Linked DNA regions of Lonchura striata. The protein of the gene in region 3 binds, or shares a complex with, the protein of the main gene of each other region. Links are inferred from orthologs where the notes say so. Each region holds a gene or a part of one and is shown on either strand. Other genes may lie near its edges.

Evidence for each region.
Region 1: CUL3 (region 3) and KBTBD4 share a complex: the UniProt entries of both Homo sapiens proteins name them as parts of the BCR(KBTBD4) E3 ubiquitin ligase complex. The link is inferred for Lonchura striata from reciprocal best matches to the Homo sapiens genes CUL3 and KBTBD4.
Region 2: CUL3 (region 3) and KBTBD2 share a complex: the UniProt entries of both Homo sapiens proteins name them as parts of the BCR(KBTBD2) E3 ubiquitin ligase complex. The link is inferred for Lonchura striata from reciprocal best matches to the Homo sapiens genes CUL3 and KBTBD2.
Region 4: CUL3 (region 3) and KLHL21 share a complex: the UniProt entries of both Homo sapiens proteins name them as parts of the BCR(KLHL21) E3 ubiquitin ligase complex. The link is inferred for Lonchura striata from reciprocal best matches to the Homo sapiens genes CUL3 and KLHL21.

The regions. Positions count from the first base shown.
Region 1 is NC_134608.1:39,478,850-39,485,842, forward strand, and holds the start of KBTBD4 (kelch repeat and BTB domain-containing protein 4), read right to left. Parts: upstream 3,094-6,993; 5' UTR 2,966-3,093; coding exon 2,947-2,965; intron 2,869-2,946; coding exon of another isoform or gene 2,801-2,868; intron 942-2,800; coding exon of another isoform or gene 875-941; exon of another isoform or gene 812-874; intron 1-811. Other genes in the region: protein FAM180B, read left to right, coding at 875-941, 2,801-2,868, 3,391-3,834; C1QTNF4 (complement C1q tumor necrosis factor-related protein 4), read right to left, coding at 6,847-6,993. UniProt on the Homo sapiens protein: Substrate-specific adapter of a BCR (BTB-CUL3-RBX1) E3 ubiquitin ligase complex which targets CoREST corepressor complex components RCOR1, KDM1A/LSD1 and HDAC2 for proteasomal degradation.
Region 2 is NC_134603.1:111,258,412-111,266,337, reverse strand, and holds the start of KBTBD2 (kelch repeat and BTB domain-containing protein 2), read right to left. Parts: upstream 3,067-7,926; 5' UTR 2,913-3,066; intron 2,395-2,912; 5' UTR 2,250-2,394; intron 1-2,249. Other genes in the region: uncharacterized protein LOC144246033, read left to right, coding at 6,493-6,640, 7,356-7,926. UniProt on the Homo sapiens protein: Substrate-specific adapter of a BCR (BTB-CUL3-RBX1) E3 ubiquitin ligase complex that acts as a regulator of the insulin signaling pathway, modulating insulin sensitivity by limiting PIK3R1/p85alpha abundance in adipocytes.
Region 3 is NC_134612.1:9,625,936-9,634,012, forward strand, and holds the start of CUL3 (cullin-3), read right to left. Parts: upstream 3,171-8,077; 5' UTR 3,092-3,170; coding exon 3,026-3,091; intron 1-3,025. UniProt on the Homo sapiens protein: Core component of multiple cullin-RING-based BCR (BTB-CUL3-RBX1) E3 ubiquitin-protein ligase complexes which mediate the ubiquitination and subsequent proteasomal degradation of target proteins.
Region 4 is NC_134626.1:4,242,209-4,249,667, forward strand, and holds the start of KLHL21 (kelch-like protein 21), read right to left. Parts: upstream 3,036-7,459; 5' UTR 3,029-3,035; coding exon 1,990-3,028; intron 796-1,989; coding exon 390-795; intron 1-389. Other genes in the region: PHF13 (PHD finger protein 13), read left to right, coding at 3,721-3,759, 4,152-4,253, 4,982-5,534, 5,892-6,118. UniProt on the Homo sapiens protein: Substrate-specific adapter of a BCR (BTB-CUL3-RBX1) E3 ubiquitin-protein ligase complex required for efficient chromosome alignment and cytokinesis.

The DNA.
Region 1 (6,993 bases), on a different chromosome or scaffold from region 3:
TAACCTAGAGAGATGGCATTAGTTCTCATTTATACATATTACTGAATATTTGTATAACCCTGGCATTACATTCTGTGCCATACAGAATAGAAATACAGAACAGTTTGACTGGGGACTTAGCACTAACAAATATGTAAAGATTTGTAGTGAACAGACATCTCCTGTAAAGTGAATCAAATGAAATTTTGTCTATGTAATTTAGAACATCTAAGGGCGACTATGCTCACTGTAACCCAAAAGTCCACTCACAGGAGAGGAAGATGAAGTGCTAAAGCCTGAGCCACTTTGATACTTGGTGTTTGTTAGGTCACTGTACTGAGTTCTCCCTCCGGGGGGGTTTGATACAGAACTGAGCCAGTGACACTTCTTCTGCCTGCTTGTATGTTTTGGCTGCTACTGCCCTTCCATGAATCTGCAGTCTGCTAGCTTTATCTGTTTGTGACATTCCAGGATTGTTTTCAGATTTTTGAACCCAGGAAAAAGGAAAACTGAAATGTGACAGAGACACTGTGTAGAAATGGAAGGGACTAGGGGGTCCTCACTTCTTAAGAGGCAAACATATGTAGTGGAATTTCTTGCAACTAACAGCTTCCTATAATCATTGCAGTGGAAAGTCAATCTTTGAAAAGGAAGCTTGAACGATTCTGCCAAAAACATCACAACAAAGTTTTCCAAGTTTCCAAAATATGACGGAAAACATCCTTCGGGGTCAACAACTTGAACTGCAAGCCCTTCCCAGGGCTGTGACCAGAAACACAGAAAGATGGATGCATTCCAAGAGAGGCTGCTGGGATCCGAAGCAGCACGGGAAGACGCCCCAGGCGAGCAGCTGTGGCGTGGGGCGCGTCATTGTCGCAGAGCGGGTGGTGCTGCCATGGCCCGGGCACAGCTCAGCTCCTGGCTGCTCCTGTGTGTGTTTGCTGCATCCCAGAGGCTGGCAGGTAGGGAGCACATCTGTTAGCGACATGGCCCCTTGGCTTGGCAAACCTTTGTGCAATGCCATTTGTGTGATGCTTTGCTGCTCCTCCAAATGCTGCTCCTCCAAATGCCTGGCCCGAGGCCTCAGGCAGCTGCACTGGCATGGGATAGAGCTGGAGTCCAGCTGGGGGGGTTTTGCACTGGTACATCCTTGCAGGTTGAAGACCTGCTGCTGTGTTTGGTGGCAAGGGGAGGATTTTCTTGGGTCTCCGCTGAAAAAATAATCTCCTGCAATACTGTTTGTGGATTTTCTATATGCTTTTTTGGAAACAAAACCCCACCCAACCCTGTTGAGTGATAAAATAAGTAAGAATTTTCCCTTCCCCAGGGAATACTTACGTTTTTATTCCAATACATTATCTGTTGTGCTTTGTTACATTTTTCTCTATTCAAAAATCTTCCACTGTGTATATTTATGAGGCAGTAACTAATAAGGGCAGTTTGGCACCTATTCAGCAGATGCACTGACTTTGCAGCTGGTCAGACATTTCTCAGGAGAGGGTTCTGTGAGGTGGGAGCATCGGTTACTAGAGACAATACCAAGCAAATAAATTTTCAGATGATATAATGCTTTCACCTGAGCTAAAAGCCTTGCTGGTACATCTGTGGAGGACTAGAAAAAAGAAGCTACATCCCTGCTCACATTCCAAAGCCACAGCTGGCTTGGATCACAGAGCTTGCAGCTGTGCAGAGAAACAAACACTGCAGGCTGCCGGCTGGCAGTGCACTTCTCCAGAAGCTCGTGCATCTCCCTGAAAAGGTCTAATCAAAAATGAGGATTTGGAAGTGTTTTTTGGTAGCAGTCATCACACGTGTGTAGTACTAAATAATTTTTCTACTTTTTATATGCTCCTGCTGACTTTAACTCTGGTATTCAATGTAAATCCTTACTTTTTTTTTTAATATATGTATGAAAAAGCTTTCATCCATTTAAAAATGAAAAAAAAAAAAAGCCCATAAATATATTGGAGAGCTTACTATTTTATATGAGCTTTTTCCATTTCATATTTCTTAACCTGAGGGATGAGCCTCTAAGAAGTAGAAGAGGGTCTTGGCTACCTCATGACACAGAGGAGGGAGGGGATGCAGCCTCTCTTTCACAGTCCTGGACCAAGACTGCTTATGTCTCCTTTTTCATACACACAAAGAAAGAAATAGATGCGACAGTTAAAGCACTGTAAGTATTAGGAAATGAAAAATGAACAATTCTTAGGATTAATGTGACTTTCATATTCAAAAACTGCCATTCCTCTGGCCTCATATCCATTTTCCTCAGTTTTACATGATGTCATATGTCCCAGCAAGTAATTAGCTGGACATCAAATGAGCCATAATGGATCTGGCAAGGATTCTTTTATCCTCACACTCTTCCAGCAGCAGAAGCTTAAGGAAGAAGTAGATAACCAGGATAAGCATCAGTTTCTGTTTCTAGCAGCATCTTGAGGAGCCTGCCAGCACCCTCCTTTCACTGGGCAGCATTACTTTCTCCAGCAATAACTGCTAACCAGCCAAACCCCATTGGCTCAAACCCCATCCATTCTCGGTGTGAGAGTCTTCCTTGCTGCCTGTCAAAGCAGTGCCTTGCTGCTGTATGCTTTAGCTCTGCTGGCAGCACTGAGGGCTGTGATATCCAAAACCTCGCCTCAACCACTGCTTCTCTTAAAAAGCTTGTTTTGCTTATCAAAATCCCGTGGTCAGCATCTGTCATATTTGGCAAGCTGAGTGGTAGCTCAGGAATGTTGAAGATGTTATTGACAATCAAATGGCAAAACCAGTAAACATGAAGGTCTTGTGCTACCAAGCTCTGTCTGATGTTTTCCAGATGAACATCCTCACAGCGGCACCAACAGAGCCCGTCGTGGCCCAGAGGACGCTGGCATCATGTTAGAGGTCTCCTGAGCACTGGGGGCTCTGGGCCGAGGCGCTGTTAGTGCCCACGCTCCCACCTGCCTGCACGTAAAAACTCACCTGTTCTGTTTGTTCTCATCCCTGCCGGATTTCAGGACCCCCGGAGAACGCCTCGGCGATGCCCAATGGCATTTGTGCCCCCTGGCACTGCGGGGCGCAGCCCACGGCGGCTGTGCCCGCGCCGGGACAAGGGACCGGCCCCGCTGGGCTTGGAGGCGGCCGCACCGGGGAGCGGCTGCGGCGGGGCTGCGGGGGGACGGCGGGGCGGGAGGCGGAGCTGCACAGCGGGGAAACGGGCTGTGGGGATGCTCGGAACCGGGCTGTAGGGATGCTCGGAACCGGGCTGTGGGGCTGGCAGAGAAGGACGCGCACTGGGTCCCTCACGGCCCCGCCGACCCGCCCGAGGTGTGCTCGGCGGCGCTGCGTTGGGCTTTGCCCGCAGCGCGTCCGGCAGCGGTGCAGCTGTGCGGGGCTTTCCGTGACAGCGCTGCCCCTCTCTTCCAGATGCTCTGGGGAAGGCTGGATATCCAGACCAACGGGACAATCCGGCTGCGGGATGAAGAGCTGGCCTCCCTACGCCCGGCACGGCGCCTCCTGCAGGTTTTAGAGGAGGAAGTTCCCAAAACACCGGCAGAGATTGAGCAGCACCTGAGATACTATTCACTGACCGACGCTCCCTTGCCTCCGACAGAGTTCGACCGTCTCCTTTTCACCAGTGTTTACAGTGCCTATCAGGTTCGCTCCATGCAGGGTCTGGATAAATCCCCCTGGATTGGCTTTTTCTCTCAGCTGGTTGATGAAATCTTCCGTGACCTGTGCAAGGGGCTCTGCCCTGCAAATACCACTCTCCTCCAGGCTTCCTGGCCTTGGAAGGAGAAGCCTTCACATTTAGCATCCCTGAAACATTTCTATCGCTCTAACCTGGCCAGGACCAAGAGAGACACCTAAAGAGGGAACCCCCGTAGGAAAGGGCACACCTGGCTTCAGCTGCCTCCTTGGTTATTTTCAATGCTTTCCACAGTGTGCAGGACTTTCAATAAATATGCCACACCCTTTTGTCCTGCTTTCTGCACTGTGCTGACAACCCCCTCAGGATTTATGCGCAAGCTTTTATTTTTAAATGAAAAAAGGACAAAAGTGCATTTCTCCCTTTTCTGATTTTTTGCTAAGTGAGCTGTGCTGAATGGGGCAGTGCTATTTAGATGTCTTATCTATCTTGATCACTGATGCTCAGGAGAGATGGCTTGGAAGTATTTTTCTAAGATATTATGCTGGTGTCACAGCTGACTTCCTTTCAGATAATTCAGTTCACTCTCCTTATATTCTCACTGTGGTTTCAGACAAATACAAGATCTTTTCTCCTCTCCAGTAGCAGCTAAGCAGGTTTTGTTGTGTTTCATTATATAGGTCACATATTTAATTTAATTTTTCTCCTCATGTGGCATCATATTTTATGTGTCAACAGCAATTTCCCATATCACGTATTAATTTTTCTTTAAAAGGCAACCTGAAAAGGTATGTATTCCATGAAGCTTTCTAGTGTTTGCATATCATATTTACACATATACACAGCTTTGTTTCAGTTATCATTTTGGAATATACTTCCTGAAATCTCATTTAAATTCTGAAGAATCCTGACCTAGTTATTTCTTCAGCAGATTTTGCCTTTCTTCTATAAAGTTTTTTTTTTTTTGTACAGCTGTGGCATTTTACAAGCCAAACATAATAAACACATAGTCTCTATCAGAAATATAATTATTTTACAAAAAGACATCATTAACATTTGTCTGTCTTAAACACTGTGGTGTGGAATTAGATAAATGTAATTGTCTCCTCAGGAGGGTTTTGATTTTGATTCTTGTTGTTTCTAGCAGATTTCCTGCTGCACCTATAGGTACATAAATTTCAAACGTTCATTGCATGTGCTTAGACAATGGGATCCATAATTCCCTTTCTATCAATATAATTTTTCCATGTTAGACAAAAGAGGCATGTGTGACCTTCAGAGTGGGAACTGCTAGTTTCTGACCTAGTTAATCTTATTCCAAGCCATTGTAGCCCAACAGATGGAGAGGGAAAATGGTAAGGCAGGAACAAGAAGCCTGGAAGCAAGATGCTCCAGACAATGGCTTTAGAGGTCAGCTAAGGGTTTTGACAGGAGGTAGATTTAAAGCAGGTTGTTTGTTGTTGGATTTTTGTTTTGTGTGCTTGTTTCATTTTGGTTTGTGTTTTGGGGTTCTTTTTGTTTGTGTCTTTCTTTTTCACCCCAAATGGTATATTAATTAAAATTAGAATTTAATTGAAGTAAAACTTCTTGTCTTACCTTATGCTGGTTTTTTACATACTTCAAATCTTTACTCTTCATCCTTTTCCCAAATATGCCCCAGTCTTTAATGCCTAGGACATGTATGGAGTGACAGAGGCAGTGAGTTTGAGCAGAGTATCATCAAAAGGCTGAGCTGAGATGGCAGTGGTGCATAAAAATACTGTATTGCTGGAGAAAATACAGCCTGAGCCATACAAATATATGGAAAAACGCGGAGTGGGTTGGCTTGTGACTCAGATGCCAACACACTGCTTTGAACTCGGGATTTTGTTAGGAGCAGTTTTAGAGCATTGCTGCCTGTTGAACGGATTATAAAGTACACTGAAGTGATGCCATGAAGCTGTGTACATGCTTAGGATGGTGCACGTTTGCAGTTTATGTATTTTTGGGATACAACCTGGGGTTTAGCTCAACTGAAACAGCAGCAGTGGTGCTACAATGAAGTCTCCTGTCCTCCCACTACCTCCTCAGCGGATCCCGCTGGCTGCCCACCCCTGTTTGTCAGACTGTAGGAACACAACAGTGCCCACTGCAGCCACAGCAGCCTCTCCACAGGGCAAACTCTCGGTGGAACTCCGTACGTACAAAACCACTGGAAATGGATGCTGGACACATCACCCACGGTTCCTCTGACCCCGCCTGCAGGAGGCTATCAGTGCAGCACGTGGTGGGCCAGCAACACCCTTGTGTTCAAGGGGCTCATTTCTGGGGAAGGTAACGCCCCTGGGGTCAGCAGAACCACTGCTGGGGTGGTACTACTCACACTTGGTGTTATGAGGCCTGCTCCTGATCCTAATCTTTAGAGATTTAAAGACAGATTTCTTATTCTTCTTACTTACCTTGCTTCTGGGCTTTCAGAGCATGTTCCATTCACAGATTTGAGCCCTTATCTTTCACTATAAGATGCCTGCTCTTTTGTTTGCTTCTAAATGTATTCTTTACATTAAATGAAAGTTGAGATTCTCAACCACACCTTCTTGACTTCATCTACATCAGATAAAGAAAAGCACAAACCACTGTGAAACTTGCAATAAAATCATAAGAGGTACCATCCCTTCACACACACAAGTGATTAAAGAGTGTACACAGACAGACTGGCTCAGTAACACATCCTCAGCTCACACAATTACCATGCTTCTCTCTCACCTGAGTTGATACCTCAGCCAATGACAAGCACACAAGTCTCACAAAGTAGCATAAATTCCAAACTGAGAACATTCTCATCTTTTGTATTTTTATTACATTCCTTTTCATTACACTTATTCCCTCCCTGGATAAATAAGGAAAGTCACCACACCCTTTTCTCTCTGGATGCTGGAGATCTGCAGTATCATGACTGCAGTAGTTCTCTGGTCCTCAGCATCTCACTACAGTGCCCCACCCCTGCCCCAAAACTACCTCATGCTTTTATGTTAACTCAAACACCAACACGGGACACACAGCTACAACCCCAAAGGCCTCTCTAGGGACGAATGGCACACACAGCAGTGGCCCTGCTGACAGGGCACAAGTGTGCAGCGTAAGGAAAGCACTGGACACATGACAGCATGCTCAAAGCAGAAGATGATATTCAGAGAAGCTATACTCAAGTTCATGGCACCTTGGCTCTTCTTATGCTCCTTTCACATCTGCATTTAATTGTTTGACCCTTGAGGTGAGCTGGCACCTGGAAGCCACTTTGGCTGAGCCTCTGAATAGATGAGGAAGCCTGTGAAGGTGATGTACTTGCCATGGTTGCTGTAGGCACCATAGCCATCATGCTGATGGCTGTAGAGCCAAAC
Region 2 (7,926 bases), on a different chromosome or scaffold from region 3:
CTCCAATTCACACTTTAAAAAACACACGTCATTTTCCATGTGTCTGGAAGAAAATTTTTAAAAAACCCAACAACCCAAACTTATCTCCCTGGACATTCAATTTATTTAATCTAGTTTTAACTAATTTAAAAAAACAAACAAACCAAAACCAAACTTTAAATACTACTTTTGTGCACTTTTAATCAAAATCCAATTTCCATCCAAGGGCAGCTTCATACAAATCACAAGTAAAAACACATCTAAAGAAGTGAGTCATTCACTATTTTAAACATAATAAAAGGTCAGAATTTAGACCTGAACAACTGTAAGCCAAACTACACAAGCCTTGGTGTGTGGAGATAGCAATCCTCCCAGCTAGCAACACACTGCCCAGCTCAGACACTTCAACACTTGGTTACTATGAGGGATATTCTGAGTTACAAACCAACCAGTTTCAAACTTAACATACCAGATAACAGCAAGGGGGAATGTGAGTAGTAAAACTGATTAGAATCAATTATGCAAATCAACACACCTAGCCAATAGATCTCAAAGATAGAAAAGAAAGAAGAAAAAAGGAGTTGGAAGCTCTAGATCCTTGAGTAATGTATCAAATTTACATCCTTGGCAGCGAGAAAGAAATAGGTAATTGATGAAGCAGTTCCAGACTTGGAAGTTTTCCTCTCTTCTAAAGCCATCAAAGGTGTCTTTGACAGCACAGTAGTCCAGAAAATTGAGGACATCAAGGAGATTCTAATAAGGCAACAATGTGAAATTTTACTAAAAACAAGGAAAGGTTTACTCCCACAAGGTTATCTTCAAAATGACTATTCACTTGAAAACTACTACTATTTTCCATATATATCGTGCTTGGGAGGCGAGTTACAACTTTGAAGTAGGTGAGTTTTCTGAAGCTACACAGAAACTAGAGACTAGAAGTGTCAGACTCCATGTTAAAAACATGCTTGGTCACAATGCACTCCTGTTTTTCTGCTCCTAAAGGAAGTTACACACTAAAGGAAACACCTGCTTAGAAAGAAAATTAGCATTTATGACATGATAAACCAACAGCTTAAATTGGCAACTGGACTTCTACACTGGGCACAGGTAGTTTCCATCCCCAAGGGTGTTTCTGTTTTGTGGAAGACTTGACCTGTTTTGGAAAATTAAACTGAAAAAAAGTGGGCCACTGATGTCTCAGTAATATCCAGTCATGTATCCTATATATACAATTTTCTTTTTCTCTGAACTATAGTACATTAATGAAGCTAGTCTGTTTTATGTAACAACTTAAATTCCAGTTTAAAAGCATGTGCCATTTTTTTATTCACTATATGATACTTAACTATAAATTTATGCATTTCTACATGAAGAAATTAATTAGTCATTAATCTAGCTTAATTAATTGTAAGTTAGTTCCTGAAAGGTTAAGTCTTATAATGGATATCATACTCATGCATATAAAATTTATTCTCAAAGCACTACAGTCCAAGAAAACTAAACCAAGAAAAAGAAATTTTAGCATTTGCACCAATTCTGGTCTGTTTCATAATCACATGACCAAAACAAAAAAGCCTGCTTCAACAAAGGAAAAAACAACAACAACCATCTGTCTAAAATGTAGTCAAAAATATTAAATAAGCAGCAACATCCTTTCTTCCTCTTTGGACTGTTCCTGAAAGACACTACTTACACATCTTTGAGTATAAAGGACCTCTCTATTTGACACACAAAAACAATTTGGAAAAAGGTGTGACACCTATACTCAAATTGTGAGACTAGGTGATGTATATATTTAGTAGATATACCTGATGTAGACGTTTAGTATTTAATGTAATTAAATTAAACACTAAAAAATAACTATTCCTCCAGATAGATTTATGAGAAATTAAACTATACTAAGTGTGCATTCTAATAATCTCTGAAATACCTCATCTGAACAAAATTCATGTAGCTACAGCCCTAGGTGAACTTCTAACAGCACACAGGCTTTCAGGCCCGTTATGACCACAAGGCAGATGTACATGATGTAGAAAAGCCAAGTTGGGGCTTTGCAATAAAACCTCTAAAAATGCACACGCTAAGTACAGCACAAATCCATTTCTAAATAATAACTGAAGTTATTTCGAAAGCAGTAGGTATGTATCCCGTTTCATAGCAGAAATAATGGTAAACGCCGGGAAAATGTGACTAACGTCAAAGCGATACTACGTGTTTACTTAGTCCGGAAAAGCTTACTAAGAATTATGTGACTCTTTAAAGCTACATACGAGCACGGCAGCCCACGCCTGGTCACTGCAGGTATCCATAGTGTACGTATGCACAACCAGACGGATCAGTAGGGACAGCTACAAGGAAGGGCAATGCCGCTACACTGCTGCTCTCCGAGACTTCACACGCGCGTCCCTCCGAGCGCTGCCAACACAAACACCCGATTTCAGACATCCCCGCCTCGCCCCGACCCCGTCACACGGCGCGGCCGCGGCCCCTCCCGCCTGCGGGACGCGGCGATGCTGGACCAGGGGCGAGGGAACACATTTCTTCCCTCTCCCCGATGCTCAGGTGCGCCGTCCCGTCCCTCCGCAGCCCTGAGCCCTTTCCTGCTTCCCCAAGAAGGAAGGGGGCACCTTCCCGTTCCTCCAGCACCGCCACACTCCGGGCTTAACGATGCCGACGGCCTCTCCGCCTCAGGGAGCCGGCCGTGCCCGGGGGCGCGGAGACGGCCCCCGCCGCCACCTCCGGCGGTGCCCGGCGGGCCCGCGGCCGGCCGGGGGGAGCGGTGCCGCAGAGCCCCCGCGGGCGGCCCCGGGACCCAGGCCTCCTCGGGCGGCCGCTCCCCGCGCGGGGCCGGGAGAGGGCCCGGCGGCTGCGGCGCGCGGGAGCGCCGCCACCAGCGCCATCCTTCCCCCTCCCGCCCCTCCGCTCGGACAAACCTCCGACCGCCGCTTCCTCTCGCGCCCGGCCGTCCCGACCGCGGGCGCCCGCGGGGAAGCGGTGGGGGAGGAAGAGGATGCGGCGGCGGATCCCGTCTCTCTCCCGGGCTGCGGAGGCGGCGGCGGCCCCTGGGCGCGCAGGCGCTGCTGCCGTTGCCGCCGCCCCCCCACCTCTTCCTCCCCCTCCCCCTCCTCGCCCGCCCGCCGTTACGGAGCGCCGCGCCCGCCCCGTCTGCGCATGCGAGGCGCGAGGCGCGGGGGGGCGGCCGGGCCCGCCCCCGGGTTCCTGTCCCTTCTGCCGCCCGCGAGCGCCCCCTGCCCGCGCGCCCCGGCAGCGGCGCCCCCCGCGGGACGGGGCGGGGCCCCGCGCCCCCTGCCGGAGCAGCGGCCCCAGAGCCGCGGAATCCAGCGGCTCGGGAGAGACGCCGGCACCTCCGGCGGCGACCGGCAACGGAGCCGGGCACCGAGTGCCGTGCAGTCAGACACCTCCCGGGACGGTGACTCCGCCACCGCCCTGGGCAGCCCGCCCCAAAGTCTAATCGCTCCTTCTGTGAAGAAATTCCTCCTAATGTCCAACTAAACCCCCCCTGGCGAAACTTGATGCCGTTTCCTCTCATCCTGTCTCTGGTAGCCGGGGAGAAGAGCCCGACCCCCGCCCGGCCACACTCCCCGTTCAGGGAGCTGTAGAGAGCCATGCAGTCCGCCCTGAGCCCCCTTTTCTCCTTTTCCAACAACGCCAGCTCCTCACAGGACCTGCGCTCCAGACTTGCTGCAGCCTGGAGGCCCCTGGGCTTCAGGGTTAACACCCAGCTCGGACCTCTCCCCCGGGAGGCCTTTGGTCCTTCAGCCCTCCTGGAATCCTAGAATGTCCTTCGGCCAAGTGTGGGTTTGCTGCCCTAAAAGCATAGTTCACCTGACATTTGGGAGGACTGGAGCTTACTCTGGGATGGAAGGAATTGACAGGATTACAGGAGGCTGAGGGAGGTATCAGAGAAACGAAAATCTTGAGAACACGCATCTTTTTAAAAGCCATCCAGTGTTATTTATTTTCTTTATTTCTCTTTGGGTCCACCCACCAATAGAAAGCCTGGAAAGTGCCTTCAAAGAGGTGAAAGTATCATGGATGCAGAGCAGAGCTGGGGATTTAAAACACACAAGTAATAGAGCCATGGAATGTTAAAGGTTAGAAGGGACCTTAAAGACCATCAAGCTCCAACCTCCCTGCCACAGGCATGGACACCCTCCTCCCACTATGTCAGGTTGCTCAAAGCCCCATCTAACATGGCCTTGAACACTTCCATTCAACAACGTCCTCAGGCAGCGTGCTCCAGAGCCTCACCACCCTCACAATCGAGAATTTATTTCCTACTAATATCTAGCCTAAATTTCCCATCTCCCTTTGTACCCATTGCTTGCTGTCCTGTCACTACAAGTCATACAAAGTGCAAGAGCTGCTGTCAGTGGAAAGGACAAGCTTTGGCTGGGAAGACCTGCAAGGAATGGATCAGTAACCCTTCCCAAACTTTATTGTTTGTGTTTTGGTACAAAGGACAGATTTAGTCTGAATGTTATATAAAGAAAAACCACATCAGTTTTGGGAACTTCCCAACACAGGAATACAAAGAATCTCTAAGCATCCATACCACTTTGTTTTTCCCTAACCACTCACCAGCCTGCATAGCACATGCACTGTGCTTTCCTCTCCTTTCACCTGACCCTGTACCAGTAGTCTCTCATTTGGAGATGTGCAATTCCAGAGCAGCAGCTCAGAGTCTCACCTCCTGTAAAAAGGCAGGGTAGAGTCAAAATGCAGCTTCACATTTCAAAACTTCCCATGACACTGTATGGAAATAAGTGCTTCTTCTGTTCATGTGGAAATAACATTACATTTGTCAGCCCCCTCAGCCATGTTAGGATGGAAGAGCATTGCTCCTTTTACTCAGTACTAAACAACTGGTAAACCTTGAAAACAAATGTAAACTTGGCCTTGTGTTTTCTGATTTTTTTCCCCTGAAAGAAGTGTTTTTAACTGCAGTTTGAATCAAAAGATTAGGAACATTTCCCTTATTTTTCTTTTCCTAAAATAAAAAAGTAATTTCCAACATTATAAAAGGGAAATACAAGATTTACTTAGAGATGCAGCTTAAACATCTGCAAGATGAGATAGCCAGCTTTCTGTACAACAGCTGAAGGCTTCTACGACTATTCCTATCCTTGTGTTTTGATTTTCCTCCCACACAAGGATGGAAAAACGCCCCCTGCATCACTGTTAAATGAGCCTCAGGTGGGAGGAGGAGTGGACAAGTAGCAGCTGCCTGCCATAAAGAGGACGTGGTTAGTTTTTTTTTTGCTGGGCTGTAAGTGGTGGCGGCAGCAGCAGCAGCAGCAGCAGCAGCAGCAGCAGCAGCAGCAGCAGCAGCAGCAGCAGCATTGGACATTAGGTTTTGGGGCTATAAGGGGGAGGAATAGCTTAGTTCTTGTAGGGGGTTTTGTTTGGTGCTTATTTTTTTTTTTTTTTGTGGTTTTTTTCCCCTTCTCTGCACCATTCTATTTCTCAAAGGTCGAAGTAATTCTTTGGCCTGAGGGAGTCTGTAGGCTTTTTGGTGCTTTCAAGAGCTGCACAGGCCACCCTACATGGAAACTGAAGAGGGCTCCAGTCTTTCTAAGGCATTCTGAAACTCTAGGCTGAACCGTGTGCGAACTTGTAACAGGTCTCTAAATAGTTTTCTTGTTTTCTTTTGCTTTTTTTTTTTTTTTTTGGAACTTCAAAGTGCTTGAGTTTTCTAAAGAATTAAGCTTCTGTGTTCTCTGATTTTTTTATAGTCTTGCTTATAAGCTTTGTGTGATAGTGTTGTATTGCTTGCAAGTATTTGTTAACTGAGGAGACATCTAAGTGTGGGAGGAAGTTCTGTCTTGTGAATTTTATATGGCTCTGAATGCAAACTTACACATAAGGATTTTGGTGGGGTTGTTTTTGCTACCTATCATTTGGTTTAAGCGTAGGAAGCAGGGTGTCACTGAAATACTTGGTTTACTACATTAGTTAGCTGTCATTCTTAAGTATAGTATAAAGTACAAATCCTGAATTAATGGAGTTCTTATTGTACTGTGTAATAACATATGCATTAGCATTACGAAGCGTTTTCTTCATGAAGACATTAAATATCTGATTGTGTGAAGCTTTTTTTTTCCTCTGTGTGTGTGTGGTCTCTTGCTCAAGGCTAATTCAGTGAAGGCTTTTTTATTTAATTGGCTGGGATACTGCTTATAGAGAGGCATGCATCTAAGACTACTGAAGTTCTGTAGCTTTAGAGCATGTTGCAAGGTTGCCTTGAAGGACTAATATTGAGAGCTGTGTACAAAAGCTTGCTTAGCAAAGCCCAACTGAAATATTTGACCTTGATAGCATGTCAGTTTGTTGCCTTCTGTTTGGAAGACAGCAGCTTTCTTTTGGAAGGACAGCTTTCTTCTGTTTTCTTTGGGCAGGGAGAGGAATGTCTGATAATGCTGACAGAGCATAAAAATAATTAAGTCATGCAGTTGATAATGATTACTTCTCTCTTTCAGTGTTTAAAGAAGAATGAGTACTGCCTCAACTTCAGAAAGTGGATCATATTCCACAAACCACCCAGGACTCTTTTTTTATGCACAGTCATCAGCTCAACAGCCTTATCCAAATCCATGGTACTTCAGTCATGCATACAGTCCATACTGCGTACCTGCTCCAGGTAAGGTAAACAGCAGCTCTCTGTGGGATCTTTGCTTACTTAGTTACATACTTCTTTCCTCACTCTTGCAGTATCTGTGTTAATGAGCCTCTTGAGATTTTAACTAATACTTAATAAATCAGATTTTTGACAACTGTAGCTCTACATTAATTCTGCCTTAAATATGTAGCTTGTGTAGTGGAAAGCATCTGCTTCTGGAGAATGGAAGCTAAGCAAAATACTAAGTAATGGTCATCCTGCAGACACAGAGCTCCAGAATATACTTGGCAATTCATATTTGTGGGTATAGATGAATTCCACATGTGCATGCATGATAGGTATGGATAAATGTAAGCTTAAGAAAATAAGAAAAGTATTGTTAAATACAGTTTGCAAGTGCTATACCTATGTGAACTTCTATCTTAAGCTGTATTTTTCAAAATTAATGCTATATCAATAGTCTGTGAAATAGCCAAAAAAGCACAGAAAACAACTTGTTGAATGTTCCAAGGGATTAACTCAAGCTATGGTTAAAGTGTAGATGTTGAGGTAAGCTATTCTCCAACAAAGAACTCTTTCTGATTTTGCACCAGATTTGCTTCTAAGCGTTGGAAGGTGGTGTGTCTTATTTACAGATGTTTCTGATCTTGTCCCTGTCAATGCAAGTAAATGTGATTCAGGATGACTTATTTCAGAAAGATGATATTTGTCTTTTCTTTTTGTCACCAATGTCTAGGCTTTCGAAGTGGAAATCCATATTTTCCATTTTATCCTGTTGCGCTCCATGAGTACCCTAGATTTTTTGTTCCACGGCATCCCGTGCATACAAGAATTAACAGAAGGCCTTATTTTAATGCTGCCCCACCTTCCCCTGTGTTTTATCATGCAACAAGATTTAGACATTATAGTGGCCCTGGGAAGAAAGTGGAGACAAAAGAAACACAGACTGATCCTAGACAGCCTGAAAGCAAGCAAAAAGGGCATCAAGATATTCGTGCAGAAACAAAAGGTCGTAATGCAGGAAATACAACCTGTGTTTCTCCTAGTACAGGTACAGAGACTGAAAGTACTTCAGAGAAACAAGATTCATTTGGCTCTTCTATTGTGGTAGACAGAGAGTTTCATAATAAGAACCCTGCCAGCCCTACACAGTATAGAAATCTTCCTACTGGAAGTTATGCCTTTGAGAAGAAAGAAGTGAGGATAGAATATGGAAATGGCTCTCCAGCTATTCAGCTGTGGAAGTCCTTTAAAGAAACAATCCCATTGTATGATGTGGCAAGTGGTAAACCAGTTCCAGAGAACAT
Region 3 (8,077 bases):
AGCTTAACCTCAACCCGAGTTTGCTTTCCTCAGTATACAACAAACTCTCTCAGAAATACTCTTCCTAGGTTTGAAATATACTCAAATCTGAAGTCTCAAAGAATGCATCCTCATCTGGACTACCTCTGATGAAAAGCTTATCACCATCTTTACGTCAGGAAGAACAAGAGAATGCAAAGTTCTTTATAGTAAGATAATTTATAAATTAGGAAAAGAGCAACTGGTTAAACATACATCTCAGTTCATTTTGATTACTGTAAAACCCACTTGTGTACAAGTAAAACAGTGTAACCCGCGCCATTGCCCCTGAGGTAAGAAAAAGCACATCACAGTGCACACCAGGATCTAGCAAATCTTAATGGATACTTGGGATGACAGATAATCTGGCACCAATTACAAGAATAATAAAAAAGAAATCTAGAATAAAACTAATTCCTAAGTATCAAGATGTCCAGGTAGAAGACTGGTGCTTTTCCAGGTTTTGGTCCACTTCTAACAAATTTTTTGTATGGTAGAAAAGGTAAGCTTAGGCAATGTTTGGCAAATTATTATTTCTCAATTCCTTTAGCTATTATAAAACATAATAACAGAAGCATGAAATACATTATAAAAATGTAAAATATTTTAAAAAACAGAACTTGCTTGAAGGAAGTTATGTTAATATTGCTATGCTCCAGGAACACCACCATTCCAATTTGGCTATTTCTAGCCTAATGTAATAGTAAAGAGCTACCCCCATGCAAGAAGGAAACTAATCTACAACAGAAAGACCTCCTGAGGAAAGATGATCAATAAGAAGACAAATTGAAGCAGCCTACAAAACCACCTCTGGAAGCACTCTTAATTGAGAGCCAAAGAGCAGAACCACCACATTTGGACAAAGGAGTGAGGATCCATAGCTGCTGCATGAGTAGCACATTTTCTAAACATAGACTCTACTCCCCATGAAAATGCCCCTCATTGACACAAACAATCCCACTGCAGTCACCAACACTAAGTCATTTCCTGGACCAAGCTTCACAACCACTTAGGCATACACAAAATGCGTGTTAAGATTTTTACATCAACTACACCTGCTGACTTCTGCAATTAACAAAGGGAAACCCCCCAAAATCTCTCAAAGTACATGCTTCTTTTCTATAAGCACTTTATCAATAGGATTGTCAACAAAATGTCTTAAGTAAAAAAAAAAAATATCGGAGGGGACACCTGCAAAGCTGCTATCAACACATGTCCCCATATAGTTGCAGGCCTTGATGACTTGTGACTTATTGAGTTATTTTAGGAAGAAGACACTTTGTTTTTCACATATTAACCTAGATATTCTTTAAGCAACTGAAAAGAAAGACAACGCTAATAAAAATAGTTTAAAAAAACTTGATAATGTTTAACTTTATGTAAGAACAGGGCTCCATTAGAGCATTTCTCACCCCTGCAAAACAAATTTCACATACAGAAGAGGTGAAATACGCAAACTTCAGTTTATCGCATTGTCATATTCACAGCTGGAATAAATGAATCTGTTTATCAAATGAAAAGGCTGCTATCTTAGTTGCTGCCGTTTGTTACAAAACACATACATTGCTTTTGTCACGGCTTATTTTTGTACAGGTTTTCCTACTACTTGTTAATAAAACTGTGGCCACATGGCAGGAAGTCTTCTCCTTTATTCCTCTAATCCAAAACTGACGTTCTTGGAAAAGGCTTTTTAAAGAAATAAATGAAATATGGAGATGAAAAACCTATCATCAGCTAAAATTCCTAATCTCATAGCCCACTTTTTTCTTTTTACTTTTACCACTAAATGCAACTATCAGTGATTAAAAGTAGAGGAAAGAGTAAAACAGCCTAACTCAGACTGCTATAAAGTTGGCTGCTGAGCCTATAAAGAATCTTCTAATTTCATCAGCAAGAGTTTGGATGAAGCAAATATATTGATACATGCCTTGCCAGTGAAATGAGATAAACAGGTATGTCCAGTTTCTCTAAAAAGGCAGAGCACATTAGTTCTACACCACTGCCTACTGGGATCAGACATGGCATTGAAAAGTTCACACCAAACCTGAAAAGCCAACGCTAATGCTTAAAAGGCAGAGACTCAGCTAAGTATCTTCTTTTTAACATACACCGCGCTGAACACACACACGCTTCCTGGTCATCCTCCAGCAGACTGAACCTTTCCTATTCCTCTCGTTCCACAACGCCATTACTCGTGCTGTAGTTGTTATTCTGTTGTAAGCTTTAATTGAACCGACTGTCAAAACACAGCAGCGTTACAGCACTTCAAATTAATAATCTGGCTCCTTCCCCTCTGTAACTCAAAGAGAAGGCACACTCACGACTCTACCGAACCTGCAGCAAGTTACCTATGCCTACATGCTTATAGTAACACCTTCTGAACAGCTGGCATTGTGCCACCTACATTTTATTATCATACGACTTAGAGCCTCTTCTACGGAGCGAAGAGATAAATACAGCAAGAGGAAACTCTGCAGAGATGTAAATAAATATTCCCCCCCACACCTTCCGGAGCCAACTAATTTTGTTGACGAAGGCGCATAACCTTCGGCTCCCTCTTTGACGCTTTTTCCTTGAAAACAAAGAAATCGGTCCCCACTGCCGTACGTGGATTTTCATAATTGATCTGTTTGATGAGGGAAGCGATAATCGCAGGGGGGACCAGTTCCTCCGCCTCCCACTCTCCGTGCGGCACCACTTCCCTGAGAAGCGCCTTCCGCACGGCCCCGGGGTGCCGGCTGACAGCTCCCCCCGGCCCGCACGGCCCCGGGGTGCCGGCTGACAGCTCCCCCCGGCCCGCACGGCCCCGGGGTGCCGGCTGACAGCTCCCCCCGGCCCGCACGGCCCCGGGGTGCCGGCTGACAGCTCCCCCCGGCCCGCACGGCCCCGGGGTGCCGGCTGACAGCTCCCCCGCCCCGCTCGCACCCGCGGCCCCGGCGCACGGCGCGGCCCGCACGGCGCCGGGGCCTGCGGAGGCCGCTCGGGCCGGCCCAGGCCCGGTACTCACGGGGAAGGCGCGGATCCGCATCTTGGTGTCCTTCCGGCTGCCCGTCCCCTTGCTCAGGTTCGACATCTTCGGGTCCGGCGGCGCCTCCGGCGCGGGGCGGCAGAGCCGGGGGACGCGCGGCGGGGCGGTGGGCCCGGGAACGGGCCCGGGGGAGGCCGCTGGCGACCTTCGCTGCGAGTGCGGCCCCCGGGGGCGCGGAGGCCGGGCCGACCGGGTCGGGCCGGGCGGCAGAGGCGGCGGCGCGGGCCCCTCGCTCCGCTGGCGGCGCTTCCTTCAGCCTCCGCCGCGATGGCGGACAAACATCGCTCACTGCGCAGGGCCGTGCGCCCCCCCTTCCCTTCCTTCCCTTCTCTTCCTTCCCTCGCTCTCCTTCCCTTCCTTCCCTCCCCTCCCACCGCCCGGCTCGCTCGGATCCGGCCGCGGTGGGGCGGGGGCGGCGGGAGGGCCGGGGGCGGGGGCGGAGAGGGGCCTCCCAGCTCTCGCGAGGTTTCCGCCGCTCTCGCGAGACGTCCCGTCTCCGGCGGGCCGACACGGCCGCGGCGGGCGGGGAGTGGAGGGCGGGGAAGGCGCGCGGGCGGGGAGGGCGCCGCTGATTGGCGGAAAGCAGCGCCGCGCGGGGGGGCGGGGCCAAGGCGGGCGGGCGGCGCGTCCCGTGAGGGGCGGCGGGGCCGCGGGTGCCCGGGCGGGTTCGGAGCGCCGCCGGGGCCGCGGGGTCAGCGCATCGCGGCATCGCGGCATCGCGGCGTCCTCGGGGCTGGCAGAGAGCTTTAAGATCATGCAGTCCAACCGTCCTCTCAGCGCTGCCCCGACACCCGTAAGCCACTGAACCACATCACCCAGCGCCAGACCCAGACGCCTCTTAAACACCTCCAGGAATGGCGACTCCACCACCTGGTCAACACCCCACTTGTCGGGCTTGTGGCAGTTGTTTCATTAGGTTTAAAGTGCAGGTTTTGGTGCCACTACAGGGTTGTGCCAGTGGGCCTCGCAGCTGCTGCAGCCCCGCGGGCACACGGGGCACGGCCCCGGCCGGGCAGCAGCTGCCCCTGCCTGGTGCCTGCTGGCAGCCTGGCACTGCGCCCCTTTTCCTGGTCCTTGCCCTTGGAAACATCCCAGTGCTGCCCCCGTGAATCGTGCCAGCGGCAGGCGGGTCCCGCCGCAGAGTGCCGTGATGCACGGCAGCGGTATTCAGTGATGCTCTGTGTCTGTGCAGTGCCAGGGATAGTCAAAGATGCTCTGTGTCTGTGCAGTGCCAGGGATACTCAGCGATGCTCTGTGTCTGTGCAGTGCCAGGGATAGTCAAAGATGCTCTGTGTCTGTGCAGTGCCAGGGATAGTCAAAGATGCTCTGTGTCTGTGCAGTGCCAGGGATACTCAGCGATGCTCTGTGTCTGTGCAGTGCCAGGGATACTCAGCGGTACTCTGTGTGCAGTGCCAGGGATAGTCAAAGATGCTCTGTGTCTGTGCAGTGCCAGGGATACTCAGCGATGCTCTGTGTCTGTGCAGTGCCAGGGATAGTCAAAGATGCTCTGTGTCTGTGCAGTGCCAGGGATACTCAGCGATGCTCTGTGCAGTTCCAGGGATACTCAGTGATGCTCCGTGGCTGTGCAGTGCCAAGGGTATTCAGCAATGCTCTGTGGCTGCATTGCAGTGCATGCTTGGGAAATGAGGATGCCACCTGAGGCAATGCTTACACATGCCCGGAGTTAAATATAGGTCGTTCAGAAAAGGGCAGTTGCTGTCGAATGGTTAGAAAATGTCTAATTCTGTGAGTTATCAGAGGGGCACTTCTGGAAGTTAGGCTGGTCAGCCAGAAAAAAATCTATGTCTGAGATGCCAGGGGGCTGACTGAAAAGTTAGTGTGTTTTGAAGTTGAAATGTGCATCAAAACATGTCTTGCTCAAGATCCCTCTAAGGAAGGAGGTGGCATAGCCAGGAAGATAATTTCTTTCAGGTGACTCTTGAACTGAACTCTGACTACCATGGCATTGTGTGATACACATTTTGCATCCTGCTCCACATGCCTCCCTCATTAGTGTTTTCCTACAGATGCCTGTATACTGCACATATTTGCAGGGCACAAATATGCAACGTTCCTTCTCTGAGTTAACCTTCTATACCAAGGATTTCACCAGTTTTGTCCTTGGAGATGGTTCCTATTGGGACTATGCATGTTCATATATGGCATAATTTTTTAATCTCCTGATCAGAATTAAGTATATACGCCTAGAGTAGGTGTTATATAAGAGCAACACAATAAACAATGATTGCAACATGACTATGCAATAGGAACCAGTCCTTTTCAAAATTACAGTATAGTCAAAATGCAGATCAAACAAAGATGAGATGAGAAGGGAAAGATTACCGGTTGTTAATATGAAGAATATGGTTTACACATTGTTTCAATATAATTTCAATGTCATTTCTCCTCCTAAGTATTTTCTTTGCCAAATGAGGACAACCTCTTATGTTAATACAGGGTTTTTCCCAGTCCATAACAGTTAGGATAAAATCACTCAAAGATGTTCAACTCTTGTAAAAACAGTTTGCAGAACTAAAGTAAAAGTAAATTTATACTAAAACACAGAGTTTTCATTTTGAAAATATTGCAAAAGCACTCTTCAACAAATTTAGTGCACTTTTCAATACCCAAAACTTTCCCCAGAATCCATTTATGAGGAACTGTCATTTCTTCTTTCAAGAAAGAAGAAAAAAAACTTTTACCATTCCCTATTACTGCAGATGGCTCTGGATTAACTTCTATAATGATTGCTTCAGTGCTTCCTGCCACTGGCCTTATGCTTATGGCAGCCCTGGATAACCAGCCTCTTTGCCTTCTAAGTTGCCCTTAATGCACATTTTTTTATCTAAAAGTGGAAGAGTACTGACTCACCCTCAGACACTATTCAGACTGGCACATAACGCCCAACAAAAAATAAAATTATGCTCCTACCAAGTAATTTCAATTCTCACATTAAATAGCTTTCTTTTACACATGAGTTTAGCTACCACACACTAGCACAAGTGTAATGATAGCTCTAATTTTATTACTAAATGCTGAATTTGGAACCTGAGCCTTCTTTTGGCTCATAAATCTGGTGCAGATTTATGACCCAATCTGTCACATCTGCTAACACAGATTCCTCTGGAGCTCCTCCTTTCATGTCTGAGGTCTGTTCTGTGGCTGTCCGAGGTGCAGACAATTACAATTTTTTAGTGCAAATTTTCTATTTCCATACATAATGTACAAAATGAGGTTTCACTAAAAGTTACCCTTTGAGCTTACAGAGAACTAATTGAGATGTGTGTTAAGTGCTTATAATGTTAATTCCAGGTGGGTCAAACCAGAAGGAAGACAGGCAGGTGGAGGAGGACGGATCGGCACAGGAAGCGTGATGCACCCTGTGGCTTACCCAGGTCACCCCAGCTGTGTCCCAAACATCTCACGTCCCTCTGTGGTCCAGCCATGAGGGAATGCTTCTTATGCACAGGAGGGTAAGCCTTGTTGGAAATTTCACATCTGAGCATTGAGCAGCCTTAAACCCAGCTTACAGCAACCACAACATGCAGAGCTATGAACACCCCCAGTATCATTTACCCTAGTGCAGAGAAGAGCTCTGCATTATCCTAATAAGTTTTTTTTCCCTGAAATCCTATCAGTCCTTTGATTTTAGATACTGATGGTCTCACTAAAATGACAGGGGACATTGCTTAGGTGTCTGCCAGTCCACACAGAATATCTCCACCTGAGTAACACATCACCACCTTGCTGTCAGCACCAGAGGGATGGCTCTTTGCATTGACCTGTGTGTCTTGAGGGTCACAGAAAATCTTTATTTAAATACTGGGTTTATAATCTGATTTATATCTTAACATATAATCGTAATCATGTGAAAGTCATCAGAAATTTTAGAAGAATGTAAAGAGCACATTATATTGGAATTGATCTAAATTTACATTTTTATAATTAGGCTTTTAGGCAGAACATAGCTTGTGTTAACTTCTAGAGAAATATTCAATATATACCTGTTCAAATATGATTTTTTTATTTCAAATCGTGACTTTCTGCTTGGTAAGGCTTAATTGTGCTTCACCAAAGCCAGGCACTGTGATTTTTTTTTTGTTTTTAAGTAACCATCCTTTCCAAGGAATCATACAGGCTTATTCTCAGGTTTTCCTTATCCAGGGGTGAGGTACTGAAGTACAAAAGCATAAAGAAAAAAAGTATTTCTAACACAGAAGAATGCAGAATGACCACATCCTGGTCTGCAGAGCACCTAAATGCCTGACTGCAAACTCAGGGACAAACATTTCAGGGCTTGAACTCACTGTAAGATAGAAAAAAAATCCTTATGTGGTGGGAAAAAGTGAGATCCCTCCCTGTAAAGCCCAGATTCAGGAGGAGGGCTTTTCCCACCCCAAATCCTAATTTTTTTTTTCATTTTTTTCTGTAAGTGCCTGCGTCACTTTGCATGTGATGGTTGCAAAAAAAAAAAAGCTTGGGACAACCTGATAAATGTATACCTGTAATGCCGTAATTCCTTCCCTGCAAATCACAACCAACTGACTGATTTGTGTACAGGGTTCCTAGATTTCACTAGGTACAGGGACGATAGCTTCCTGTAGAAACAGGATCAATATTCAATCAATATGATTTACCAGGACACTATTACATTTCTCTTTGAAGAAACAGAACAATTTCAAGGCAAAAACATTTCACATTATTATTTCTCTATCCATTTAGAGACTTTTTTTTCCTTTTGTGTATGTCCTGGATGAAGAAAAAACTTGTTTTTATCTTGCTCAATCACTATTTCAGAGGAGTTTAGGCAGAGGTATAATTCACTGTAATAAAGCTTACTTGCATTTCAGGTAGATCTGTAAGTTTGGAGTTGGGTTTTTTTTTCCTTCTCTGGAAAAACATACAAAATGTTTTGTTTGCTTTAACAATGAGCACTGTTGGGTTTTATTTTTTGTTTTGTTTGGGGTCTTTTTTGACATGATAGGGGTGGTTGAGAGGCCTGGGGGTGCAGTGAAAGGCTGTGGAGTGGCA
Region 4 (7,459 bases), on a different chromosome or scaffold from region 3:
CTGCACTAGAGTTTAACGTTTTCTTGGAGCTTATGTGTTTATTTATAGCAACAAGGGGGACTGAACCAGGAGCTGAAGAAACCGAGAAGCCAATTTCCAGGCAGTGCTGCTGACTTCAGATGGATTTACACGTGTCTGTTCTCCAGCCCTGGGTTACACTCAGACATTTTCACACAAGTTTATGGGCAGCTCTTTGAAGCCCAGCAACTCAAGGAAAGAAGTGTTACAGCCCTCCCTGCACCATCAGGGGAAGCACTGCTGTGCTGTCCCAACCCAGTGCCCTTCGTCCACTACCTGCAAAATCCACAAAATCCACCTTCCCAGGGAAGCTGTGGGCTCTCCTCATGGGGACATGGGGAGGGAGGGAAGTGATTGCTCCCACTACTCACCGTATGAAGTACATGAGACCATTGAGCGTGACGGTCTTTGGGGCAAAGGACCAGGGGGGCAGGTGGCCGCAGTTGACAAGGGACCAGAGATCACTGTCGGGGTCGTAGCACTGCATGACCATGGACTCTTTGCCAGCCAGGGAGCCGATGGCGAAGAGTTTCCCACGGCACGAGGTGGTGGAGCAGTTGTCCATGGGATACAGCATGGGCTGCAGGGCCTCCCAGCTGTCCAGTGTGTGGTCATAGCGCTCCGTGCTGTCAGAGGCAACCACGTAGAGCAGCCCGTCCAGGACCGTGGAGCTGTGGTATTCCCTGGCTTTCAGCATGGGCGACACCTCTGTCCACTCATTCACACTGGAATTGTACCTCCAGACACAGTCGTACAGCCTGGACCCATCCGAGCCCCCTGTGGCACAGCATGACACATGTCAAAATCCTGGCTCCACAAAGGGAAGGGTGATGGAGGAGAGGGCTTGGCTCAGCACAAGTGCCACAAGGATTTTAAGAGAAGTTTTGCACTGTTTCATTCCCAGCAAGCCAGGGAGGATTTCTCCCATGTCATTCCTAGTCCATACATAGCTGAGACTCAAAATGAGTCTTCCATGTTTCACTACCTCTGTCCTCTCATACCCACTTCTCTACCATTTTACAGTCCCCCCTCAGTCACTGCCCAGAAGCTGCCAAGGCAGTGGTGCTGCTGGTAGCTTGGGAATCTCCCAGCCTTGCCTTTGTCACACTGACACAGCCCAAACCAACCCAAGATCCCCAGCAGCAGCCTGTACACAGCTCCCAGCAGGACTGATCTGCCTGGGATCACTCCAGAAAGCTCCCACAGGATGTAAGGGCTTCTGTAAAAACATGCTGCATCCATGTGGTAGCCTGTCATTTTTACAATGCTGTCCTTAAAGCAGGTCCTTGTTTTCTGCTTGTGACTAGAGAACACACAGTTTTCTGTTCACCTGCATTAAGACTTGCTCTTCAAAGGTGTGCCAGTGTGTCCTGCACACCGAGGGCAGGCTGCTCCACAGCACTCAGTGTCCTGGGCCTCAGTTTGTTATAGCTGTCACAGAGATGTAGTTCAAAGGAGGGATCTGCATACAGCTTATCAGCCAAATTTACATATTGGTGTCACCTTGACAGAAGTAATTGTACCCCAGCAAGGAGGCAGGATTTGTGCAGGGGAAGGTACCGTGACTCACAGGGGCTGGTGAAAGAACCTGGGGTTTTCTGACATGCCTCAGCCTCAAGCATGTGATTCAGGGGGCTCTGAATCTGAACACCTTCTTCAAAGACCGAAACTCAAAACCTTCTTACATCACCCCTGTCCTCAGTGACGGTTAAAAAGTTCTAACTACAAGATCTGTGACTTCTGCCAGCATGCTCAACAGCATTAGTCATGACAAAATAGCTCCTGGACTGAGACCAACTGCTAAATCCAGCACCGACTCCAGGAGTCTCCATGCCTACTGGCAGGCTGCAGGCACCCAAGCCAAGACCCAAACGCTCTGCTACCCAGGAAAAGCCAAATGTTGTGGCTACAACCTACATATTTTCAACAGAACCCTCCACCCTGGTGCTTCTCATTCTCTGTATGCCTTACCTGTGACATAGATGTCGTTGCCCAGTGCAGTGACACTGTAGCCCCCTCCCAGGTGCTCGGGGAACTCGGCCAGGTAGCGCCAGTGGCCAGTGCGTGGGTTGTAGCAGTCGACGGTGACAAGTTCATCGCAGTCACGGTCGCAGCCACCAACAAGGACAAGGATTTCGGCGAGGCCAGTGGAGGGCCGAGGGCGCATGCGGGCACAGGGCCCCCGGTCGTGGCGGTCGAGGCGGGCAGCCTGGAAGTCGCGGGCCTCACGCAGAAGGCGCAGGCAGGGAGGGCAGCGGGCCACCAGCGGCTCGCTCTCCACGTGGGCCAGCAGGTAGAAGCGGCGCACAAAGGGCAGGCGGACGTGGGCCAGGAGCTGTGGCAGCAGCGGGGCACGGGTGGCAGGGTCAGCGCGCACCCAGCGCAGTGCCAGCTGAAAGGCAGCCTCCTCCTTGGGGACGCAGAGCCCATCGTCCCGCAGGTAGGAGAGGAGGCGCTGCAGCGGCAGCCGCTCCAGCTGGGCGCCCAGCTCGCCCACGTGCCGCAGCACGAAGCGGTGGGCGGCAGCCGCCAGCTCCGGGCAGGCAAAGGCCTCGGCGAAGTCCTGCATGTCCAGGGCGTTGGCGGGCTCCAGCTGCCGCGCCAGCCAGGCACCGCAGGCCTCCTTGACAGCGGGGAACTGCAGCAGGTCGGCGGCGCGCAGCAGCCGCTCGGCGATGTCGGGGCCCAGCCGGCCCACGCGGCCGGTGTAGGCGAAGTCGAGCAGCCGCCCCAGGCACTCGGGCTCGACGCCGTGCAGCCGCACACGCTCGGCCCGCGACTCGCGCAGGGCCCCGCCGAACATGGCGCGGAAGTATCCCGAGGCAGCGGCCAGGACGGCGCGGTGAGCCCCGAACTCTCGCCCGCCGGCCACCACCGTCACGTCCAGCAGGCTCCGCTCGGCCCGCAGCGCGCTCAGACCCCGCAGCAGCGACACCGCGTGTGCCGGTTCTCCCGCCGCCGCCGCCGTGCTTGAGGCTCCCGCTGCCGTCCCGCCGGTGCTTGTCGCCATGCCGTGCCTGCGGGAGCGCACCTGGATCAGGCAAGGAGGCGGCGGTGGGCTCGGGGAGCCCGCCCCAGCCGGGAGCGGCCGTAGCGTCAGGCGGCGGCGCTGGCAGCGCGGCCCCGCTCGGGCCGGTCCCAGGGCCCCGCAGCTACCGCGCCCAGCCCCGCGCCCTTGGCCCTGGGCCGGCGCTTAGGAGCCGCCCAATGGTACCGGGGGAGCACAAGAGCGGCCCGAGCGCAGACGGCGCTGAGGCAGCTCCGCTCCGAGTCCGCTCGGGTACCGCCGTTAGCCCGGGCGGAGGGTCCGCCTCGGGGCTGAGGGTCCGGCTCGCGGTAGGCGCTTCGGCGCCCTGCCCGTCCTGCCACCGCCGCCAGCCAGGGCCGGCCCCTCCCGCTTGGGCCCACAACCACCCGGTAGGAGCCACTCCCGGGCCCCACTCACCGATCCGCTCTCCGCCCTGCTCCGCGCTCCGCTTCCCGCTCCGTTCGCCGCTCCCGGCACCGGCAGCGCCCCCGCCCCTCCGCCGCTCCCAGCGCGCCCCGCGCCCGGCACTGCGCACGCCCGGACTACGGCTCCCGGCGGCCCCGCGCGGGCGGCCGCCCCTTCGCCGCCTCCCGCCGGCACCGAGCCGCTCGCGGTGTCGGCGCTGCCCGGCTGCCGCCGCCGCCGCCCGGCCCCGCCCGCGCCCCCGCCGGGACATGGACTCCGACTCCTGCGCTTCGCCGTTTGCCCCGGAGGTGAGCCGGAGTCGCGGGGGGAAAAAGGAAGGGAAGGGAGAAGCGGGGAGGGAACAGAAGGGGAGGGGGTGCGTGTCCCGCCACCCGGCCCGGCCCGGCCCGGCCCCGTCCGGCCGCCGGTGCCCGCTGTCCGTTCCCCGCCGCGGGGCGGGGGGCCGGGGCCATCTTGTGCCGCCGGGGCGAGGAATGGCGGCGGCGCCGCCCCGCCGTGCCCTCCCCGGGGAGGCTGCCTGGGGGCCCGGTGCCGACACCGGGGGGCGATGGGGGGGGGCACTGCCCGGTTCCGCCGCTGCGGGGGCGGGGGGGCGGCGCGGGGCGCGGCGGGAGCGGCGGCGCCGCCTCCCCCCGGCGGGCCCGGCGCCGCGGCCGCCGCTCACCCCCGCCCCCCGCAGGACTTCTCCCCCGGCTCCCGGCGGCACCGCACCGTGGAGGACTTCAATAAGTTCTGCACCTTCGTCTTGGCCTACGCCGGCTACATCCCGTACCCGCAGGAGGTGAGTTCCACCGGGGGGCACCGGGCGGGGCGCCGGGCTGGGGGCACGGGGGGCACCGGGCCGGTCTGTCAGACCGGCCGCTCCAGCGGTCACGGCCCCGCGCCGGGCTGAACAAAAGGGGAACCGCGGCGGCCGGAGGCTCTGGGGACGGGGCGGGTGGTGCCCGGCGTGGGCGGGGTGAAAAACGTCGGATCCGGCATCGCTCCTGCTGCTCCCCGCGCCCGGGAGCTGCCCGAGAAACCGCGGGGTGGTGGTAGGGAGAGCGGGAGCGGCAGCGCCTCGAGGGACGGCTCAGCGGCTTGGGAACCGGGGACAGAGCACAGTGCTTCAGGGACAGCGCTCAGCTCCCCCGGGGTCAGGGCACAGCACTCTGGGGCACAAGGCACTGCTCCCCAGGGGACAGAGTACAGCAGCTCAGGGGACAAGGCACAGTGCTTCAGGGACAGGGGACGGTACCCAGGGGAAGGGTCTCAGCCTGTGGGGACAGGGGACACCACTCTAGGGGACAGGGCACAGCATCTCAGGGATGGGTCAGAATGCCCTGGGGGACAGGGGACAGTACCCGGGGGAAGGGGCTCATCCCGTGGGGACAGGGGACACCACTAGGGGACAGGGCACAGCATCTCAGGGATGAGTCAGAGTGCTCTGTGGGACAGGGTGCAGTGCCTTGCACCACACACAAGTCTGCTCAGAGTCAAACTGTTACCTGCTTCTTCAACGTGTTCCAGGAAACGCCGCTGAGGAACAGCCCCAGCCCTCCCAACAGTACTGGAGGCACGATTGACAGTGATAGCTGGGATCCCCGCTTCAATGACACCCCCTCCTCTGTCTCCCTGCCCACCAAGAACAGAAAGAACTTTAGTCAGCTTAAGCGAACAAAACCGTATGGTTCCCTGTTCCAGCGGGCAAAGACCAGCAACTTCCTGCCAGAGCGAAAGCAAATCGATAAGATCAGGAAGAAGAAAAAGCTGAAAAGGAGGGAAACAGAGGTGTCTGCAGAGGAGGACTATGAGGAGAAGCTGCTGGATCTGGAGGCAGAGGACTCTTACACAGAGACGCCGATGAGCCCCTCGTCAGAGGGTGACCCTCAGTCTGTGACTGAGCACTGCTCAGTGTGGGACTCTGACACCCCGTCCAGCGTCTCCTACCCTGCTGTGACGGCCGAGCAGACGGTGGAGATCCAGAGCGTGGGCAAACGAACGGTCATTCGGCAGGGCAAGCAGGTGGTCTTTCGGGATGAGGATGGCACTGGTGATGATGAGGACATCATGGTGGATTCAGGTAGGTGACATGGCTGTCCAAGAGGATTAGCCAGGTGGAAGTAATGATGCTTTACTTGTAGCCTGAGGATACTGCAGAGGAGCACTGCCTGGGTGGAGTTCAGGAGCAGTTGGATTTTTGGGAGGAGGAAGGTGGGCTGGCTCTTTCTGCAATAAACTGAGTGAAAAGCTGCAACTTTATAGAAGCAGCATCTCCTCGATTACGGCCTCCTGTGTACTGCTGAGAGTCTCTTCTTGTGCAAGAGAAACAGCAGCAAAATGCCTATCTTTGAAGTTAATTTAGCATGAAAGGAGAGAAAATTCCTGGTGTGAGAGGCATCAGCCGCTAAAAATGTATCTTTGATATTTGTCTTTGCAGATGATGATTCGTGGGACCTGGTCACTTGCTTCTGCATGAAGCCTTTCGCTGGGCGGCCGATGATCGAGTGCAACGAGTGCCACACTTGGATCCACCTTTCCTGCGCCAAAATCCGCAAGTCGAATGTCCCAGAGGTCTACATCTGCCAGAAGTGCCGGGACTCCAAGTTTGACATTCGCCGTTCGAACCGCTCCCGGACGGGCTCGCGCAGGCGCTTTCTGGACTAGGGGGGAGGCACGTGCCGGTGCGCTGCGCGGGTGGGTGAGCCGTGGGGCCCGGCCGGGAGGCCGGGGAGGGCTCCCCTGAACTGCTGCTGCTCAGGTGGGAGGGCTGCCCAGCCGGCCTGTGGCCTGGGAATGAGGAATCACCGAGCCACGGGCAGCCGGAGCTGGGAGCGGCCGACTGGGCAGAACTGGGCGAGAGACTGTCTCGAGGGACAGACGAAGCTCTCTGAGCTCAGTGGAGTTTTGTCTGGTTACGATGACTGGGTGATGTACTATACCTTTGCCAAGTAGGTTTTCTCATCCCATTGGGAAACTGCAAATCTTCTCTGTGCTAGAAAACTCCTCCTCCTCCCGAAGAAGGAGGGGAGGAGGAGGGAGTCTGTGTGAAGAGTCTGAAAAGTAAATGGCCCTGTGTTTTAAATTCAATGTGATACTATACCTGCCCATTTGTCCGTATAGATCAATCTTAGATATCCTAAGACTCCATAGGAGTCAGCCTCAGTGCTGCTGGCCTCTGTGTGATCTGCTGCTGCTTCCACAGGCCTGAGCATAGGGGAGTTCTGTCATTTGGCATCATCCAAGTGCAAATGAGACTTGGGGCTCCCTCCTATGCCAAGGGACAGCGCCCTGGCAGGAAGGGGCAACCCTTTTCTTGGACAGGCAGCTTGGGGGATCAGTGGCATCAGATTCCTTCCTAGAAGGTCTCTTCTTCCAGTGGTTTTTTTTTTTTGTGATTTATTTGCATGAACAGCTCAAATGTGTGTATGGGGGGAAACTGTTCCATTTCCTGTCCCTTCATTAACCTCTATGGTGCTGTTTTAAGAAGATGACTCTCCTTTTTCTCAGCCCAGAATTCAAACATGGGCTGTAAAAGGGGCCAAAGGAAATGTAGAACCTGGCAGGTCTGGTTTGGAATTTGATCCTGTCCATCCAAGAATGACAGCTGAGTTGATTTTTGCTTTTGCTGTTTATTTTTTGAAACTGGACTGTAACCAAAAAGCCAGAATCTTTATTCTGTTGGTAGCAATGACACAGATCAAATGCAGGCAATGCAGCTACAGGATGAAGTGCAATGAGGATCCGTCTGGTGTGGTGTGGACAGGAGAGCTCTGAGGCCCTGGCCAGCACTGCAGTCAGGACCTCCTGGGCCTTAGTCCATGGGAAATCCCTTCAGGACCACGATGGCAAATCACAGCTCATACACAAGGCCAGGGAGATGCTGGCATTGTTCCTCAATGATCAGGCAGATCCACATGGATCACACAAATCGGGTTGATGTTTTGAGGTGTTTCTCTGAAGTTATGCCTGGAGAACAGCGTGTGCTCTGTCCAGGAAGAGGCTCAG